2 linked regions of the Drosophila melanogaster genome follow. Changing the gene in region 2 together with the main gene of any one other region gives a genetic interaction. Each region holds a gene or a part of one and is shown on either strand. Other genes may lie near its edges. The genes, in order: Oatp30B and nolo.

What was found.
Region 1: of nolo (region 2) and Oatp30B, changing one enhances a phenotype caused by changing the other (phenotypic enhancement), as found in Drosophila melanogaster (one study listed by BioGRID).

Annotation. Positions count from the first base shown.
Region 1 is NT_033779.5:9,517,450-9,527,523, reverse strand, and holds the start of Oatp30B (organic anion transporting polypeptide 30B), read right to left. Parts: upstream 6,315-10,074; 5' UTR 6,029-6,314; intron 4,362-6,028; 5' UTR 4,181-4,361; intron 1-4,180. Other genes in the region: CG33298 (uncharacterized protein), read right to left, coding at 7,756-7,804, 7,990-8,130, 8,190-8,377, 8,448-8,648, 8,716-8,901, 8,966-9,305, 9,365-9,532, 9,621-9,993 and 1 more.
Region 2 is NT_033779.5:21,680,696-21,690,586, reverse strand, and holds the start of nolo (no long nerve cord), read right to left. Parts: upstream 6,482-9,891; 5' UTR 6,248-6,481; intron 6,042-6,247; 5' UTR 5,676-6,041; intron 2,114-5,675; 5' UTR 2,089-2,113; coding exon 2,035-2,088; intron 1-2,034. Other genes in the region: eEF2 (eukaryotic translation elongation factor 2), read left to right, coding at 8,546-8,548, 9,029-9,243, 9,303-9,830.

The sequences.
Region 1 (10,074 bases), about 12 Mb from region 2:
ATCTTGCCGCTTTGTCTCCACTCAGAGAGTGCTGACCTCGATTATTGGCCAGGGTACAGTTTTGGCCTCTCTCACGGTAATTGATCGATTCACGATCTGGTCAAGACTCAGACTCAGGCTTCAAGAAAGAACGATTCTTTGTCATAATTACGTTCCGGTCATTAATCACATTGAAAGAAATGTCAGGGAACAATGCCAAGCAGTTTTAATTTGAAATCATGAAAGAAATTACTTTAAAATATTTCTTATTCAAGGGTGAAATGGGATTCCCTTTACATAGTAACTAGCAATCAAAACATATTTTGTATCATGCTAGAAAATATAAGCCAAGGAAGCTTTAATCTAATTTCTTAAGTTTAAAGTAAATAAAGTAAGTAAAGTAATCTAAAGTACATATAGATCTGCATCGGCTGTATCGCATTGGTCATTGGTACTCGTTAGACCGGCTATGAAGGCCGTTTCAAGAAAAGTGCCAACAACTGAAGCGGAGTGACACAGATAAATTCTGAGAATCAACTAAGCCAGATAAGAATGTTATTTAATCGTTTGCTGACATTACAGTAGCCAAAATGCCTTAACCTTGTTGCTGAGTAGGCTTCATTGAAAGTTGTTGATCAATCTGGAAATTTTAAATTGAATACCAGTTGTACATACATACATTTCCTCATATCCCACTGCAGTTTGACGTCACAGGCTCTCGTACAATAATTCTAACTTGCAACAAAACTCAATATTCAAGGCAAAAATAAAAAAAAATAGGTTCGCTTGTTTATTCAACTATACTTTCTGCAGCTGATAAAACAAAAGACACTTGCCTGGGAAACGGGAAAGTGCGATGGGGATTGGGGGTTTTGGATAAAGGAAATGAATATATGGCTCTGGGAAGCCAGAAGCAAACAAAAACAGTTATTAAGCCAACATTTGGCTGAAATCATTTCACGTACCAGTTCCCAAAGCTTGGCCATATTCCTTTATAGTCATTATATACGTACATATGTACATATATATCTGCCAGTGTTTGCATCTCGGGGGCATTTGACGCATGTTTGGGAATTATAAAGATGCGGAATAATTAAAATAGAAACAATGGAAGCCACAACAGGAGCCATGCGTCAATATATCTGAGATAAACACGCTGCAGTGCCTGAATAAAATATGCCCATCCTTATATGACTACATATATAGTAGACTACTTTTGTTGGAATAAACTGCATGTATTTTATTTTTAGAAACATCTTACATTTCAGTCTTAAAGATAATACAAATAAGCAAAATAAAAGCTTATTATATTGATTTTCTGTCAAGGAATGAGTAACCACTGCCATCAAAGTCCAAATATGATAAAAGTGTGTTGTATCTATCGTAATTTATTGGAAAGGGGACTACTGTGTGAATGTCAAAGGCATTCATAAAATGTGCAAAGCGTCCGATCGACTTGAGACCATCGAACAAACGAAAATAACTCATACGCCATGGTGGTTTCCGGGGGGGTGTAACAGAGTGGAGGGCAGAAAATGCCGTAGGAGGAGCGACTTGGCAACGCGCTGTATGCTCGAAGATTAAAAATAAGTTTTACCACAAAAAAGCAAACACTACAAACAATCACGGCCACGTCGTCTGCTCTATGTTTACCCGAGAATCAGAAGCAAACAGTCAACGAGCTGATAATGAAGACAAATCAACAGAGCACACATGAATGGTACATACATATGTACATATGTACGTATGTGCCACCTCTCCTCAGATCAAAAACGTTTTCAGATGGGATAGATCGGATTATATTAGGCTCGCCCTAAACCGCCCAGCATCACTTTTCCGAAAAGGGCCTTACATTCTCGCTTGTTTGTTTGTTTTTCTGCCAGTTTGTATAACTTCTTCACGGCGGGACTTAATCTAGAGGGCGGGATTATCTAAAGGCGAACATCGACCCAAGAAACTATGGGATGGGAGTAATCTTTAGAAGAGTCTAACAAAGAAATGGGAACATAGCTTTTAGCATAGCTTTTGATTCGTGAATATGTATGACTGCACCAAAGCAGCTCATTAAATTCGGCTAAGAAGCTACCAACAAAAAAAAAATCCAGGTTCGAATTTATAAATAAAAAAGAAAGTAAACATAGCTCAGGCCAACATTTAAATTCAAATCGCATAGATAGGGAGCACCAAAAATGCTTAAATCAAAATGGAAACTTTAATTGCCATTGTTTTGAAATGAAAATAAAAAATCGGGAAAAGTGGAAAGTCATATATATTTAGGGTAAACTTTAATTTGCGTGTGCAGGCAGGGCGAAAAAAATACACACACACATAGATTGGAACCGACCTAAAAACGCCAACATGCGACACAGTGAGACCAATCAAAAAATTACAACAGGAAAAGTTGAAAAATACACACGAAAAATAAAACAAATAGGTGAACGAGTCGGTGAACGAATGAATGAATGAATGAATGAATGGATGGGTGGCCCTAAATCTCTGTTCAACGCAATTTGTGAGCAGTCGAGGAAGAAAAAACTAACGTACAAAAAAACAAAAAACACCAGTTTCGTTGTGATGGGCCTTTTCTCTTACCGACTTTTGGTGAATTTACTAAAATGGTTATCATTGTTGTTATTCTGCTCGACGACGCCATACAACCGAAATTTGTATAATTTCTGATCGCCGTTGTTTTTACTGGCATTGTTTAAAAAAAAAAAAACCGCTTTCTCCGCCTGAGAATGAGAAATGAAAACAAGAGTCAATGAGAAATTTCGTGCGTTTTTTGTCTAGTTACCCTAAAAAACTTGATTCAGTTGGCATGACTCCTTCCTCCAAATGGTGCAGTTTCCCAAAAAAAACTATTATATTATTTAGGTACTTTACCAAATCTGTAAACATCTGGACAAATAGCTGAGCTGTATACTTTTTGCAAATATTTCTGGGGTACTTTGTGTGTTCGTTTTTTACGACTTTTTAATTGCTACTTTGAAAAGAACATTTAAGTGCCCTCGGTAAACAAAAACGACCATATTGGGGGGAATTTTCCACTTTTCACAGTTTGCCCAAGTAAACATTCCGTCTCAACTTCTTCAAGTTTTCTGCCGACGTTGTGTAAAAAGTTAATTGATATTTTCGTTCCCTTTTAATTGCAGAACTATCCATTCCCTTCATCTGCGCCGTCTCACACAAAATTAATCAATTTTCAAGTACCTAATGATGTAACAACGCCTCGCGTAGCTTTCAGATTATGAAAAAATTTACGCCAATGACTTTTAAATGAAATTATACCCAGTGCTCGGTTAAAGCCGTAATTAGACGATATGTGAAAACTCATTCAGCGCTTGTACAAAAGCCAAAGCAATCGAAGCTTAAGACGAAAACATTTCACTGGCGAAGATACAAAGATACATTCATCCAAATGGGCATAAAACCAAATGCATGGCGAATTGAATGTTGGTATAAACGAATTAAGCGATATAGACGAGGAATTGGGAAACAATATGAAAAGTTTTAACGACTTTGGAAAACACACAAAGGCAGCAGCTGCTGAATGCATCGTATAAATTATTTGTTAAATCGTACTAAAACAAATACAAAAAACAGATAGTTAAGCGAATCTGATAAATTATTATTAAATGCAATAAAGTGCTTACTAACTTTATGGCATACAACATACCAACAAGTAACCTCTTACACAAAAAAAAACATACAAATCGTGTCACAAATCGAATGGAATGGGATCGAAGGTCCTGATTTTCGGCTTAGGTTGAATGCCCTCGTGGGCAAAGTTTTACTGTTAGGAAGCCCTTAAGTCCTGCCAATCGCCGACTTTGCAATCGATTTTCCCACCGTCGATTTTCCGACGTTCGGAAAAGTTATCCCATCGCCGCACTCAACATTCCATTATATCGAACTGCAGTTTCAGCTGCTGAAGCTTTGTTTCAGCGACTTTGATTGATATTGTGTGACACACTCGTCGATTCGATTTCAATTTTCGTCACCATTGGCAGTTAAGTTCCAGTGGTTTTGGGCGAAAAAGAAGTCACGTAATAAATATCTGGTCATTCGGCCTATTTGCAATGCCAACAACAACTTGATTTCATAGGCCATGTGTGTGGGAAGTTGGCAAAACCCGTTGACAAGTTGTCAAAACGAGCGAAACAATTGCAAAATCAAAACAAATACTTTCGTGAGGACTCACCTTCAGTTTGCTTTCCTTGCGTTTCCTCCTTGCCTTCAAATTTCCCGACGACTTTTCATTCAATTTGACTGTTCGTTGAGATTATTTCGCACATTCATTTGCTGATTTATTTGTAAACACACACAAATCGAAGAGATTCCCCTCTAATTATTTCGCATTAAAATTGCACATATTTGTTTTGCTGAAAATTATTGGATAATTTCGTTTACTTATTGAAGAATAACAATCGCGCGATTTATCTGTTTCTCTCCCTCTCTCTCTCTCTCTCAAGAGAGAGCGAGAGTTTCAATAAGACGTTGCTTTAACCGGTTTACGTTTGCTTGATTGAGAGAGTCCAGCTCAAACACCGTTAGAAAGAGAGCGTAACGCGATCACCCGATTATGTTTATACCCCAATGTTGGTGTTTTACCCGCCTGCTTTTGTTACGTGCTGAGATTTGGCAAGAAAACCCAGCTAATTGGGGCTACCAACAGCAAAAGGGAGCGTGAGAGGGACGATGGGCAACAGAAAGAGATGAAACGTCAGCGCCAGCCAAGCGCAAGAAATGAAACCAGACATACATACGAATATTGGGATCACACATTGAGGTGTGTAAATGCAGGAAAAATCGGATAAAAACAAAGCTGAACACCTGTCTGATTGTTATTAAAAACGGACAAGTGAATGTTTTTATATTATTTTGCAACACGGTGTTCTTACTTCTTTAGTGCTAGCTAAAATGAAATTAGTACTAATTTAATTTAATAATTTAACTGAATATATGTATATTCGAACGTGTCACACTCTATTTTAGAAGAGCTGTGAGATATCCAGCGAGTTGAGATAGGAAAACCAGTTTTTTTTAACCAAATTTCGGGTGGTCAACAGTTAATTTCGAAGGTACTGCATCATTCTCGGAGAGTAGAAGTACAAATATCTTAGAATCGGCTTCCAATTGGAATATGATTTTGCGATTAGCATGACTGTAAATTACTCAAAAATACCACCATCTATCTGCGCTCATATAGTACATATAAATGTAAAAATGTGCGTACTATGTGAGTACTATATATACCAACATTTGTACCTATATCTATACTTGAACACATGTGTCAATTGTACTTAGCGTGCGTTTTTATATTTTTTTTCTTGCTTATGAGTTGCTTTGGTCTGGCAATGAACGATTATGCAAAAATAAATCAATTGAAAGGCAACAACGAAGAAAACACGAGAAAACGCCACAAAGGAAAACTCAGTGGGGGAGCAAGGGATACAAAAATTGGGGGAGGGGAAAAAGGGAATCTGTAACAAGTGCTTTAAAAGGAAAACAGGTCTCTCCCTGAAAAGAAAACTATTCCATCGTCTTTGTCATTCTCACACTAATTTTTCCTGACATTGAATTGCTCTTCGAACATTGAAAATTTGTTTAGTGTTTTTGCGAAATTATAAAATTGCATTTGGTCTACAGAAAAAGGATAAACATTCATACATATGTATGTAAATATAATTTCGATGATTTTTTTCATCTACAAAAAAAATTTTTTTTGCGGCACGATTGGATAATTTATTGTTGCATTATGAAAGAACAACAAAACGTTTACCACGCAGAGAGAGATGGAGAAAGAGAGAGAGAGAGAGCAACCCTGTAATCCCCCACACACACCGTTACCTGGTGGCTATGTAGAGCGAGACGAGACGAGTCTGGTCGAAAAGGGACGGAGGAAGATGGGGAGACAGAGCCACGGACGGCAACATAAGAAGACGAGACAGAACAGATGTCCGCACACACACAAACATACAAACAGGTGAGAAGCACCCACACACACGCATGCAGGGCAAATAGGAGATTTTATTTTATCACTCCTTACACTCGTATTCATCAAGGACCTCTTGCGCTCTTATCACTTTGTTTGGGTTACTGACCCGTAATTGCACGTTATTTATGTTTGATCACACCCACACACGCACTTGCCCGCCGGAGCGATGCTGTCGAGAAAGTATCACAAAATCAATTCAACACTTCTTCGTTTGGCTGCCATGAGAAAGCAACAAAAAAGGTGGCTCAATCACTTCGACGCGAATTCGTTCGGTTCAATCTCAACGGCTCAAAATTTTACCATCCGTCGAATTCGGATTTCAAAAGGCGAATGGTGATAAAATGAATGGGGAAAAGACAGAGAGCGATTGTTCTAGGGATGGCACAACTGTCGATATATCGTTATTTCAAGTCTACTTTGTAATTTTTGTGGAATTCACAATGTATTTAATATAAAGGGAAGATCAAAATTAGAACGACATTTATAATATAAAATGTTACAGCGAAAAACAATAATTTTTTATAAGACAACGTTGTGGCTTTTCTCTTTCTCATCACTGTTCCGGATTTAGCCTATACTCAAACCTTGTTTTTGACATATAGTGGATGCACAAACCCACATAATTCGACAGCCTAAAACATATACACATGTAGATTCCATTTTTTAAATGCTTGTAGAAATACATAATGTTTATCAAGATATATATATGGTTAAAAGGAAAACATTCCGAATTTAGGCAATGCTGAGATTCGTTGATATAATTCCTTAGATCACCGAATGTTCCAATCAATACAATTTGTTCATAAATGTAACTCATTAAATAAACACATTTTTACGGTTTTTTTTTTGTAGGTAAATATACATTTATTTCATTTAATGATTTCTTGCTTTTCAACAATGTAAATATTCAGCTAACAATTTTTGCTCTCTGGTATTCATTCTCTTAACAAACCCAGTTAATTTCGAATTGCATTTAGAGTTTATCTTATTGTATTCTTTTTGAAGAGGACTACAAGTAGATTAATTGGTTTAGTACAACTAATAGATTACAACAATCGATTATTACAACTTGTCATTGCATGGTCTCAATAAAAAAGTAAAAAATGTTCTTGTTTACACAACAAACTAAGAAACAGAAGGTGAGAAACAATTCTGTCAATACTTGAATCAATGCAACTAACATCTAAGGTCTATAGGTTTGTGTATGTATATATATATCATATGCTTAGGTATATCCTTCATGAGTGTAGAATCACAGCCTTATCATCGAACTCGCAATGGAGTTCTGTTGTGTTTGAATTGTCAAGTATTTCTGTTAGGGTGATACATCTATTAGTCGCTAGTTTAAATAATCGTACACATAAATAAGCATTGCATTTTCGCTTCTATTTAACAATAGTCGGTTAGGTTGGGTTCAATTCTCGAGCACTTCTGGCTCCCTAGTTTTATACAAATAAATATGTAAACTATGACATACATGCAATTGTGCAATTGCTTTCATTCTAGTGTTAAGGCAAACAGTTTAACTAATATTCAGATAGATAACTCGGAAATCTAAGCGCTTACTCAATCATTCGCTAAACAAATTATTTGAATTGCTTACTAAGTACTTTTAAGATAAGTGGATTAACTAAACTAACGCAATATTATCAATAATCGGTGTCGAAGGCCACATATTAAGAGCGAAAGCACATGTGTACAAGTTTTGGGGGTTGCTAGTCGTCTTCCTTATTTTAGTTGCCGCTGAGATAGCCGAAGAATTGCATTTTGGCGCTTAATCAGGTAATCGTTGTTATAATCTGATTCTTAGACCCATAATCGGTGATTCTGTAAGACGGCATCAATTTTTTGTTGTATTAAATACGAATTGCATTAAAGAATTGCGCAACAATGTAGAAATAAAAAGACACAAAATCAAAACAAACTAATACATGCTCAAAAGGGTATACTCAAATCGTGCAAATGAAAAAGTTGCAACTTGCTTGCAGATCAAGTATTTTGTGCCTTTTTACCTATAGATTGATGAGGCTGACGTGGAGCGCGACCAAGTAACTAACAAAGCCTCACCTCTGCTGCGCTCCCGTTTGCTTTGCAGAATAACTTTGGTGCTGTCGTCGGGACACAACGAAATGCGCACTGTTGTTAGGAGCAGGCTGTAAAAATAATAAAAATTAATTAAACGTTTAAAATCGAAATATATTTTCATACTAACCGTGGCAGAACTGCCACCACTGTGGAGAGCATTATCACTAGCCAGTGAACAGCGGAGGCAAAGCACACAAAGATGACCCAGTATGACGACCGGACTCCGAAGCAATTCATGCACACAGAATCGTAAACGATCGCAAAGAGGTAGAAGGAACCTAGACTAAGCACTATGGATAAGACATGCAGCACAGTCTGAAAGGGAAAATACGAAAATTTAATAAGCATGCATAGAATTTATTAACCTTGTTGAATAAACTCTCACCCAGGAACGTATTTCAATGGCACAGTGTACGAGGTTGGCGAAGAGACAGGATGCCGTTATCGTCGTACCAAACTCCCAGATTCCTACATCACTCTCCGCATAGGCGCACAGCGCCACGAAGAATATGACCAGGCTCTGATAGAGGGCATCCAGTAGTATTAGCCAAAAGTCGTGTGGTCTATAAGCTACGCCCAGTCGACCCTGAAAACGAATGGATTCACAATAATTAATCATATAGATTATGCATACAACTTGCTTCTTAACTCACATTTTTATAGAGATATGGATTTTTTAGCAGGAGATCTTCGGCCACACGCTTGTCGTACACTCCAATGGCCAATGGTGGCAGCGAGGTGAATATTAAATTATACAGCATCAAGTACATCTGATCCATCATCACTTGGCCAGAAAATCCACAGTACAACTGGTACCAGAATATCAGAAAGACAAAGGCCTGGAACAAAGGATTATTGTAGGATTTAAAGTTTCCTTATTATCTTATCAGATCTTAAACTTACAGCATTCTTATAGAAAAAGTATAAAATCATGCGGGACAATCGATCGTAGCACCAATAGCCGTGCGCCAAGAGTAGGCGCTCCAAGTAACGAAAGCGGGGTAATGTGAAATCGGCGGCCATGACGGCCTGCATGCCTTCTTGACCAGAGATTCCAACGCCCACGTCTGCCATCTGGATCATGGACACATCGTTGGCGCCATCCCCGATGGCCAGGGTTCGCAGATTGAGCTCCTCCTTAACCACTTTGACTAGGTAGGCCTTTTGCAGCGGAGTGGATCGGCAGCAGAGTACCGAAGCGCACCGCTTAGACAGCCGCAGAAAAGGCAGGATTAGTTTGGATCTGTAAATTGGTAATGCAATTAAATAAGAGGATAAAAACACACTTTGTGTCTAACTCACTTTGGATCAAGGATAAATGTTAAGGTCTTTCCATCCACTACCAATGCGCGTTGTTTCTTTCTTAACGACTGGCCATAGCCTAACGTGGATGTTGTCTTGTCATTCTCCATATCAGTCAGATAGAAATTTATGGCTGTTTCAGCAGCATCGCGGGATCGTGCTGTTAACCTAAAACGACGCAGGAATTACAATTAGATACTTCAACGTAAAAATTAAAGGCATTGTGGAAGCACTCTTAATTTATAATTTTGCTTGCCTTATGAGCTCCATTTGCTGGGTAAATAGCTTTGCAGAGTAGGCAATATTTATGGCCGTTTCGGGCTTGTCACCAGTCAGAACCCAAACTGAAATCCCCGCGGAGAGAAGCGAGGCTATCGTCTCCGGCACTCCATCCTGTAGGCGATCTTCGATGCCTGTTGCTCCCAACAGAGTCAGATTGCTTTCCAGCTTCGCGAATGAATCACGTAATCTTCGTTCGCGGTTCTCCAACGACATCTCGATTTCCTGATGCCGCGCCCACCAATCCGTATAGTCGGCAGAGTTCAGAGTCCGTTTGGCCATTACTAGGATGCGCAAACCTTCGCGGGCATACCGATCTAGCAGTTGCTGGGTCTGTTCTCGCAATATGCCTAAAAATCAATCAAATCGGTCATTTATTATCGAAACACTATGAAGTATATAATGCATGTGCCACTCACCTTCGGGACTGT
Region 2 (9,891 bases):
CTTAAATTCCAATTTTATCTGCAAAATCAGTGTAAATCATATTTCAGAGTAGGATTAAATCGGGACACCTTAACGAGTTCGTAACCATAGCAACAGTGCGCACTATGTATGTATGTATGTTAGAAAATGTGTTTGTCGATGGTAACAAACACCACTGAACTTATTCGGAACTTAAGACTGAATGAATACAGAAATAGAAGATTTAACAAAAACTATGGAAAGAATAAAAGAGAACTAAAATGTAGTTGGAAACTTTCTGAAAATCAGGAAACATTTCATACATTAATAATTGTTAGACAATGTGGAGTCCGTTTTTTTCTTTCCAGCAGCCTGCACAATAAAGTGGCATTTGACTTTGATGCCATCTAAGTAAGGGGCCGCTAAACAAGCGTTAAAGATTCAAATTTATTAAGAAGTAATGCTGGTTCTAACTTTATTGTCACTCGACTCAATTAAACAAAATTCAAGTGCCATCGATAGTTATGTACCGTTTACAAAGTAAATATGTAACAATGTATGTATGTAATGTCCCAGTTCAAATGATTGCCTTTCCCTTGCCAAGACTTTACCCATATTGATTAGTAATTCACATCTATATTTAGACGAAGGGTACGGCTTTGGCTTTTTGGTGAAAGCTTCCTGAGCAATTCTTATGTATCACAACTATACTGGTACTGCCAGAGCAGGAAGTTATAGCCCTATATTATATATATATTCGCAACCCTTAGACCTATACATAGAGAATGCTATAGTCGAGTTCCCCCACTATCAGATACCCGTTACTCAGCTAGTGTATATGATATGAAGGATATCGATAGATATTGGCAAATAAAATGAGAAAAAAATTAAAAATTGTTCAAACCGGATCAATCCGTCGTGACCGGTTTGGCGGCTTTAGGGCGTTAGAGTGGGCGTGGCCAAAAAATTTTTTTTGTTAATCGATAGAAATTTACAGGACTAATAAAAATGTGAAGAAATATCAACATACATATTTTTCAAAAATGTGGGCGAGGCAGTTTTGTGCGGTTGTGGGCGTGGCAGTTTTGTGCGGTTGTGGGACACATGGTTCAACGAACTTGCGTTGCGTCTTTGTCTCTAGAATATGTATGCTTAATCTCAACCTTCTAGCTTTTATAGTTCCTTAGATATCGACGTTCATACGGACAGACGGACATGGCTAGATCGACTCGGCTATTGATCCTGATCAAAAATTATATGGTCGGAAACGCTTCCTTCTGACTGTTACATACTTTTCAACGATTCTAGTATACCCTTTTACTCTACGAGTAACGGGTAAAACAACTTACTTTTACATGAAGGTGGGAGCTTATCATGAAACATATACGACACCGAAGTGGTTGATGTTTCGACTTCACGAAATCCGTAACAAAATGTGTCAGGACCAGCATAAATCGAAGAAGAAACGAAAGACTGCCAAGTTTTAGACAGCTTGTGGCCGTGTCCAAAATTATTTTTTTTTTCAATCTGATCTTTATGGGGTAGAAAAGGCGCTTTTTCCGAGTAATAGCTTTAAAAGTTAATATTCTACTAACTCTTCAGTTCTTAATTTATAATAATTAATAAGGAAAAAAAGGGGATTTTTTGAATGATACAACCAGACGATGCACTTCACCATTGCAATGCATTGACTTGATTTGATAGTTCACTTAGTTCAATATAGTTGTAAACTCTTTATTATTTATTATTATTATTATGTATAAGTGTTTTTCACATAAATTGAATAAATAATATTAATTTTCAATGACAGCATTGTATGAAATAAATTCATAACATTTTTTTTTTGTGAAGCACCTTCAAGAAAATTTAAAAAATCACCGATTGAACTAAATGAACGACCTAGTTCGACATAATACTTTTTGAATGCAAAATATGGATTTCTGATATTTTCAGCACCTAATTACTAATAAGTCCTCAAGGTTACAAATATTGCACTAATATATATTTGTAATATTGTGGAATATTTAAATTACCATTAAAGTTTTTCAGTTAACTTATTCAACAAATTGTTCTTACCACAAACAAAGCGGCCCATATTTTTGGAGACGTCCAGTTCATGTTCACCGACATTTTTGTCTCGTAATCATGTTTTCTTCTGCAACAAAGTATAAGTACAATTATTTCAAAATATAGACATGTACATCACTAAATATATACACATTTTTTGCTGGTCAAATTTGTTAACATAATCCCAAGGCCCTATCCCGAAAACGGCCTTAAATAATTATTAAGTAAAACGACACCTTCTAATCTAAACAAGAATTAAATAAGCTCCAACATGAGGTACATTTCATTGATGGACTCGGCTGGACTTACTTTAAATCCCTTTTGAATGTTGGATATTACAACTAATGTAAGGGGGAAAAACTTGACGTATGGATTTACAAACATGGCTAGATCGACTAGACTTTTGATGATGATTAGAAAGATATATACTATATAGGGTCGGAAACGCTTCATTTGACCTGATACATACTTTTCAACGATGCCCGGTTGCCCTTTTACTCAACGAGTAACTGTTATAATTACAACAATAATTATAAAAATTTAAACTCAAATAATTCAAATATTTCTGGGCTTTTTTCGGAAGCCTGAGAAGAAAACGATGTTGAAGGATATTCTCCTGTGCGATAACCGCTTCAACTGTAATTGCTTTTATCATATGCTTCCGTTGTTAATTCCCATTAATTATAAACTGTGACAATCTCTGCTCGCCGCATTGCAGTTTGCAGTCCCTGTAGAGGGTACGTATGTTCGTTTAGAGAACAACCATGTGAGAACTATAAATTCAATAAGCAAGCATCAACGGGGGACACGTGAAAGTCAAAATAAGGTTAGACAATAAAAAATGAAGAAGTTTCTTTTTCGATTCAAAGCACATATGCATGTACATATATGAGTTTATATAGGTAATAATGTTTGCCTAACGACAGAAATACGACACAAGACACGCTTTTTACAGAGCAAAAAGATAGCAGTAACTTTTCACTAACAGCCAAAACTTTTTGGTTTCAGCTAGCAACGCCTTCTAGATGTAACTATTAATGACATATGCAATATAAATAATAAGTGCATGTGATTCGCTATAAATTATTACTTGCTACTAAATATTTTGTGAGTTATTTAAAGTAAAGGCACCCGAACACAATTTCAAAGGTCAATTTGTAAACAGTTGTTAGTCATTTGACCCATAAATCCAATAAAAGCCAGATTTCTATAATTCTATAATCAAGCGATACAGTTTTATTTGTTTTTTAATCAGATTTTCTAACTAAAAGCTAGATCGACTACCAAAAAATAGATCAATTCACAGTCGCCGATATCTGGAGCCTAGCCGTACCCAGTCTTTTTCACATCCTCGCTCCTTGAGTGACGTATAGGGATTTGTCACTCCACAGGCACTCTCCAATTGCAATGGACCCACACCGAAGACAGCAGATGCTGCAAGTATCATGACCGAAATAAGCTTCAACACTTATACAGGGTGCGGCAGCATAATATTATTTCTTCAGAACTCATTGAATACTATTTTAGGCATCGGAAAATATTTATGAGATAAAGCGCTCTGGAAAGTGTTCCGTCAAAATAAGTTACGTTCTGAAAGTTCCTGCACTATCGCCATCTTATACGGATGAAAATGAAGATCATCATGAAGAATTCTTCTCACAGAACGATCGGATAGTCCAAAGGCAGATCCGTGTTTGGACGCAGAACGCCGTGGGGATTGCAATATTGACGCTCGTACTGCTTCAATGTTCTTAGGCGATCTAACGGGTCGAGGGATTCCAGTTCATCGTTTTGTCGCACTTGCAGTTTGCCTGAATGTAGTGACCCATGAAACAATTGATTTGCGGTCTGGGACGTGAGCCAACGGAGCTAAATTAAAGCGATACCGAAATGCACGCTGTGCTTCCCGCCGTGCGGGAAAAACTTTGCAGTAACCCCTCTTGAATGGGACCACTATCGCTCCGCTATGACATCAATTAACTGAATAGCGTGCATTTTAAAAAAAGGAAGTTATGTTGCCGCACCCTGTATCTTCAGCAGCAAGATTGTTTCGCGATGGTACAGCCGAATGGACCAACGTACAAAATATAATGTGTTCATTCGGGTTATAATACCTCCTGCTTTCTAGCAAAATGGTGCTGACAGTTTGGAAGCAAGAATTTAACGAAAAAAAAGCAAGAGAGAAAATCTGTCCGTATGAATATCGAAATCTCAGGAACTATAAAATCTTGAAGGTTTAGATTAAGCATACGGATTCCAGAGACAAAGACGCTGCCCAAGTTTGTTTGCTCATGTTTCCACTCCCACTCTAACGTCCAGAAATAGCACAAAACTGCCACACCCGCACTTTAAAAAAAATTGTTGATATTTTTCACATTTCTATTAGTTTTGTAAATTTTTATCAATTTGCAAAAAACACACCCACTGTAACGTCCTAAAACCGCTAAGCCGGTCACGCCCATACTTTTGAAGAAATTGTAAATTTTTTCTCATTTTATTCCCCGATATCCCAGAAATTTCGCGTACGCATTCACACTAGCTGAGTAACGGTTATCTGATTGTCGAGGAACTCTACTATAGTATTCTTTCTTGTTTTCAATTTATTAATCTACATCTGCTTGTATACTTGAAGTTGAGTATAGCAGAATTCTTCTTGTAGTTAAATTGTTATACTCATTAAAACTCGCTTTGTCACTTTGAACCTTCTGATAGAAAGCTTTGAGTCCTTCCAATTCCACCTGCCAAGCCCTTCTCAAATTGATAAAGATGTTAAAAAAAAGTTCTGGGTGAAGTGACCACACGGGTACGGGTACGGGCAGGACTTGACGGCAGAATCATATGAACATCCCCCGGTCAAGACGTTTTCCACATTGGCTGAATTTTCATTCATACCTTGGTTTTTTATGCACCCGAACCATACAACCGACAGTCTGTTCGGCACTTTACACTGTCGCTGACTTTTTGCAAACTTTTTCCGCATTACCTTATTCACACTTGTTTTAGCACCCCACGCTCAACAAAAATTGTTCTTGGATGTTTTACAATTTACTTAAAAAGCACGACGACATTGTGTGAGTCGTCGGAACCTTTTTATGCATTTGCCGTTTATTAAGGAACTGTCGACATATGTGAACACTTATGTACATTGCTTGGTTCCCGTGTGCCGAGTTCGGATTGGGCCTATTAAGCTTTTGTGTCTCATTGTGTGCTTTACAAAAATACATTGGGACCGGGCATTTCGTATTCTTATTAAATCTTTATTGGGATTTTGTCCGAAACCTAAAATATGCACTCTTCGACGGTACACATATAAAGTTTCCTATACTTTTGTTGGATGTTATCGGACTTCGTACATGGATTGAGTTCAATTACTAATGGGGGTTGGGATAATAATGTAAAATCTAGCATAACGATCCTTGCTTTCGATAACTCTTAATTTTAGTCTTTAGGACCCAAAAGAAATATTGCATTTTTAAAAGCACTTCGTTCGGCAGTTTTTCTCTCAACTCAAGTCTTTACAATATAGAAGCTTAATCAAGTGGGTCTACCGACCTATGCTTCACAAACCATGCAAGTTATAAGAAAACTGAATAAAAATTAAAAGTTTAGTAGGATTTTTGTATGTAGACAAGTAAAGTTGTCAGACTTACGGCAATCAGAAATTAAATGGCTTGACTCGCTCATCTAATAAAAATCCAAGATCCATTTTCAAGTTTATCGGAAGCTTCCACACTCAAACTAAATTAAAATTTAGATTGACGCAATTGCCACTCGTTGGACAATAAGTATCGTTTTAACTTTTCGTGCGACAAAAACGATGGAACATGCTTTTCCAAAATGATGCATTTGACGGTTTAAGAGTATTTTAGGCTTATTGCTCCTTTTTCTGCGTTGTAGTTTCTAATTATGATTTATATAATAGTTGGTTTGCCTGTCGTTTTTTATAGAGCTTTGTTTATATTACTTTTGGTTTCATATTAAATGTTACATTTTATTGAGTAATTAAAATGTATGTTCTAAGTAAAGAAAAGAAATAAAACATATAATTTTTGTCAGCATAAGTTAATTTTTTATTATTGAAATTATATTATTTCGATCATATATATCATTTCACATATTTTGTAAATTTCTAGTATTATAATTTTTCACTTTGTCGAAAACACAACATAAAGTATACTTTAAATATTTCGGCTCAAATTGGTCGGTAAACGTTTAACTTTACATTTTTTGAGCAAAAGGTGACTGATAATATTTGCAAACGGTTTTAAGTGGATAATCCTAGACCACTTAATCACGTAATTTAACTGAATCTTTTTGAATATTTGTTGCTTTCGCACTACAACAACACCGTCGCGCACAAAGCAATACATCAACTGTGCAACGTGAAAGTCCCCAATCACTGAATTTTCCTTTACCGTTAGCACAGCCCGCGAGCTCGGAAAATCACTTGAAAACTGTTCGCCCGCGTCGTCATCATTTTCATTTGCCGGCCGTCTTCGCGCAGCAACAATGCTGCCGAAACATTAGAACGAGCTTGACTCAAAATGCGAGCAACAATGCTGCAGCAACATTGGAACGAGTGAGTTTTTGAATTCGAGTGAGGTGAGTTCTGGTTGGTGAGGGGTAAGTGAGGTGAGTTCTAGGTGGTGAGGGGTATTGTTTGAGTGATTTTTTTTTAATGTGGAACACAATAATGAGAAAAAGAAAAAGCTCTTTTCTTTCCCGAAAGCTGTTAAATTCAGCAAGAGAGCTATTCTACAGTTTGAAGCAGCTTCACGAACCATTTCTATATTTGATGCGTGGGCACCGGTGGGCAAATATGTACGTGGTTTAATTTTTAAAAATTTATGGAAATTTACAAAACGAATACAAAAATCAACAAATATCAAAACGTTTGTCAAAAGAGAGACAACATGGTACGTGTATGTAAACAAAGCATTATTTTGGGCGGAAAGGTGTTTGGCTATGGTTTAATTAAAAAGTTTTATTCAAAATATACCAATTAGGCGTTCTGTCTTCCCCGGGTTGAAAATATTCAACTGTTGTCCTCCTTTCAATTGACCAATATCTCTAGTTCCTGGTTAGTTTTCCACGTTTTTTAGAAAAAATAAAATATCTGATATAAGCGGGATCGCAAGTGGAGAATAGGGTACAGTAGAGTAGAGTTTCCAAGGCTGCTTTATCAATGATACGAACCTGAACTCAGAGGTGACATGAGGCCGTCTAATTCGAAAGTTTCAAGTGACGCTAGAGCAAAAGGAGAGAAGAGAGAACGCTATAGTAGAGTTCCCTGAGTATCAAACACCCATTACTTATCTAGTGTGAATGCGAACGCCATATTTCATAATTTATAAAATAATTATCTTGTTGTTGGCAAATCGATAGAAATTTACAAGACTAATAAAATTATGAACAAATTTGGAAAAATGGTTAATGGTGCGGTTTTAGGGCGTTAGAGTGGGCATCTCAGCCTTCTAGTTTTTATAGCTCCTGAGATCTCAACGTTCATACGGATAGGCGGACACATGGACATGGCTAGATCGACTCGGCTATTGATCCTGAGCAATATGGTTGGAAACGCTTCCTTCTGCCTGTTACATACCATTCAACGAACAAACGATATCCTTATACTCTACGAGTAGCGGGTATAATGAATACCAAAAACACTTACGCCATGACCTTCCACCGCATTTTTTACAAATTTTGAAACTTCTTGTCGGAAAATTTGACTTTCGGATCTCTTGATTTTTTTCGTTTTATTATTTGTCTGCCAAATTTCTGTCGATATGCCGTGGCGTGACCCACTCTTACACCTACAAACCTCAATAAGTTTTCAAGCCCACAATTCAAACCTTTTTTTAATTCCTACCGCAACGCCAACAAAATTTTTAAATATTTTCCTAGAGAATCGCATTAGCTATGTAATGGGTATCTAATAGTCGTAAAAATCGACGATAGCGTTCTCGCTTGCTATACTTTAAATATTACTGCGTGCGTAGAATTTCGAAATGCCGTTTGATCGAAACTATCATAAGTCGTTAACTTTAAAGGCTCGGCATCTATGAGCAAATGAGAATATAACTAGCTTTCACTTAAAGTTTATTTTTCATAAGATAGTTTAAGCGATAAAGAAATATATATATATAGATTAGATTATTTTTAAGAAAAATAATTTAGAAGAAATTTAAGCGGATGTATGTAAATTAATAATAGTGCTTAGCAATATTTATTTATGGCTATATAAACAACCACGATTTCGACGCGGAAAATTACGTGGAAAATTACGAAAACGTCATTCTGTAAAATAAAAGTTTAAAAACTATAAAGTAAACATGCAAAATAACTATCTGATGAATCTGTCACGTGAACTACTATCGATCAACTACTGGTTCCGACTATCGAAAATATCAAGAATTGTCCCAGCTCTATGGTCGCTGCAGCGCCTCGCTCTTTCCTGTCGAAACGCCGTTGAAAGGCGTAGTGTTTTTTTGGTCCGCGAGAAAATCTCCATACATCCAAAATGGTAGGTGCCCAAAGTCAGAAATAATAGCCCCATATCTACAGAAAAGGCCTAGAGGCGACCTGCATTAATATCTTTAATGCCCAGTGCAAAAAGTGCAGATGTCTCAACCATTACTTGGTGAAATGATGTGTCCACATATTTTCACGTTTGCTTGTTGTGTGTGTGTGCATTATGGTGAAATGCAAGACAAAGACTAGGAATGACGTATGCAATTTTCTATTGAAATTTGGCTAGAATGTGATCCTGTTTGGTGCTTGTTGTGAAATACCCAAGGAATAGATGTATATTGCTATATTTATCGATGCCCATACTCGCGAGTGAGTGATTTGTGGTTTTTAGTTCTTATCTAACCTCAAAGACCTTTGCACGACTGTGAAGACTTAGTGTGTGTATGGACGCCATTTTTAAATCAGCACTGTGTATAGATCGAGTGGAAACTCGTTATAATATGTACATAACGATGCCTTATTTATTTTACAGGTCAACTTCACCGTCGACGAGATCCGTGGCCTCATGGACAAGAAGCGGAACATCCGCAACATGTCTGTGATTGCCCACGTAGACCACGGCAAGTCCACTCTGACCGATTCCCTTGTGTCGAAGGCTGGTATCATTGCCGGAGCCAAGGCTGGTGAGACTCGTTTCACTGACACCCGCAAGGACGAGCAGGAGCGCTGCATTACCATCAAGTCGACGTAAGACCAGTCATGTTCCAGCACCCACGGCTTTTTTAATCCGCCTTTCATTATTGCAGTGCCATTTCCATGTACTTTGAGGTGGAGGAAAAGGATCTGGTGTTCATTACCCACCCCGATCAGCGCGAGAAGGAGTGCAAGGGTTTCCTGATCAACTTGATCGACTCGCCCGGTCACGTTGACTTCTCCTCGGAGGTGACCGCCGCCCTTCGTGTAACCGACGGTGCACTCGTTGTTGTAGACTGCGTCTCCGGAGTTTGTGTCCAGACCGAAACCGTGCTGCGTCAGGCCATCGCTGAGCGTATTAAGCCCATCCTATTCATGAACAAAATGGACCGCGCTCTGCTTGAGCTGCAACTAGATGCCGAGGAGCTGTACCAGACCTTCCAGCGCATCGTCGAGAACGTAAACGTTATCATTGCCACCTATAACGATGACGGAGGACCGATGGGTGAGGTTCGCGTGGATCCCTCTAAGGGATCAGTGGGCTTCGGTTCTGGGCTTCACGGCTGGGCGTTCACCCTCAAGCAGTTCTCTGAGATGTACTCCGAGAAATTCAAGATTGATGTTGTCAAGCTAATGAACCGGTGAGTCATGTCTCAAGTTTGTTTGTAAATGTTTTCAAACTTCTACCACAAAACGTGTGGC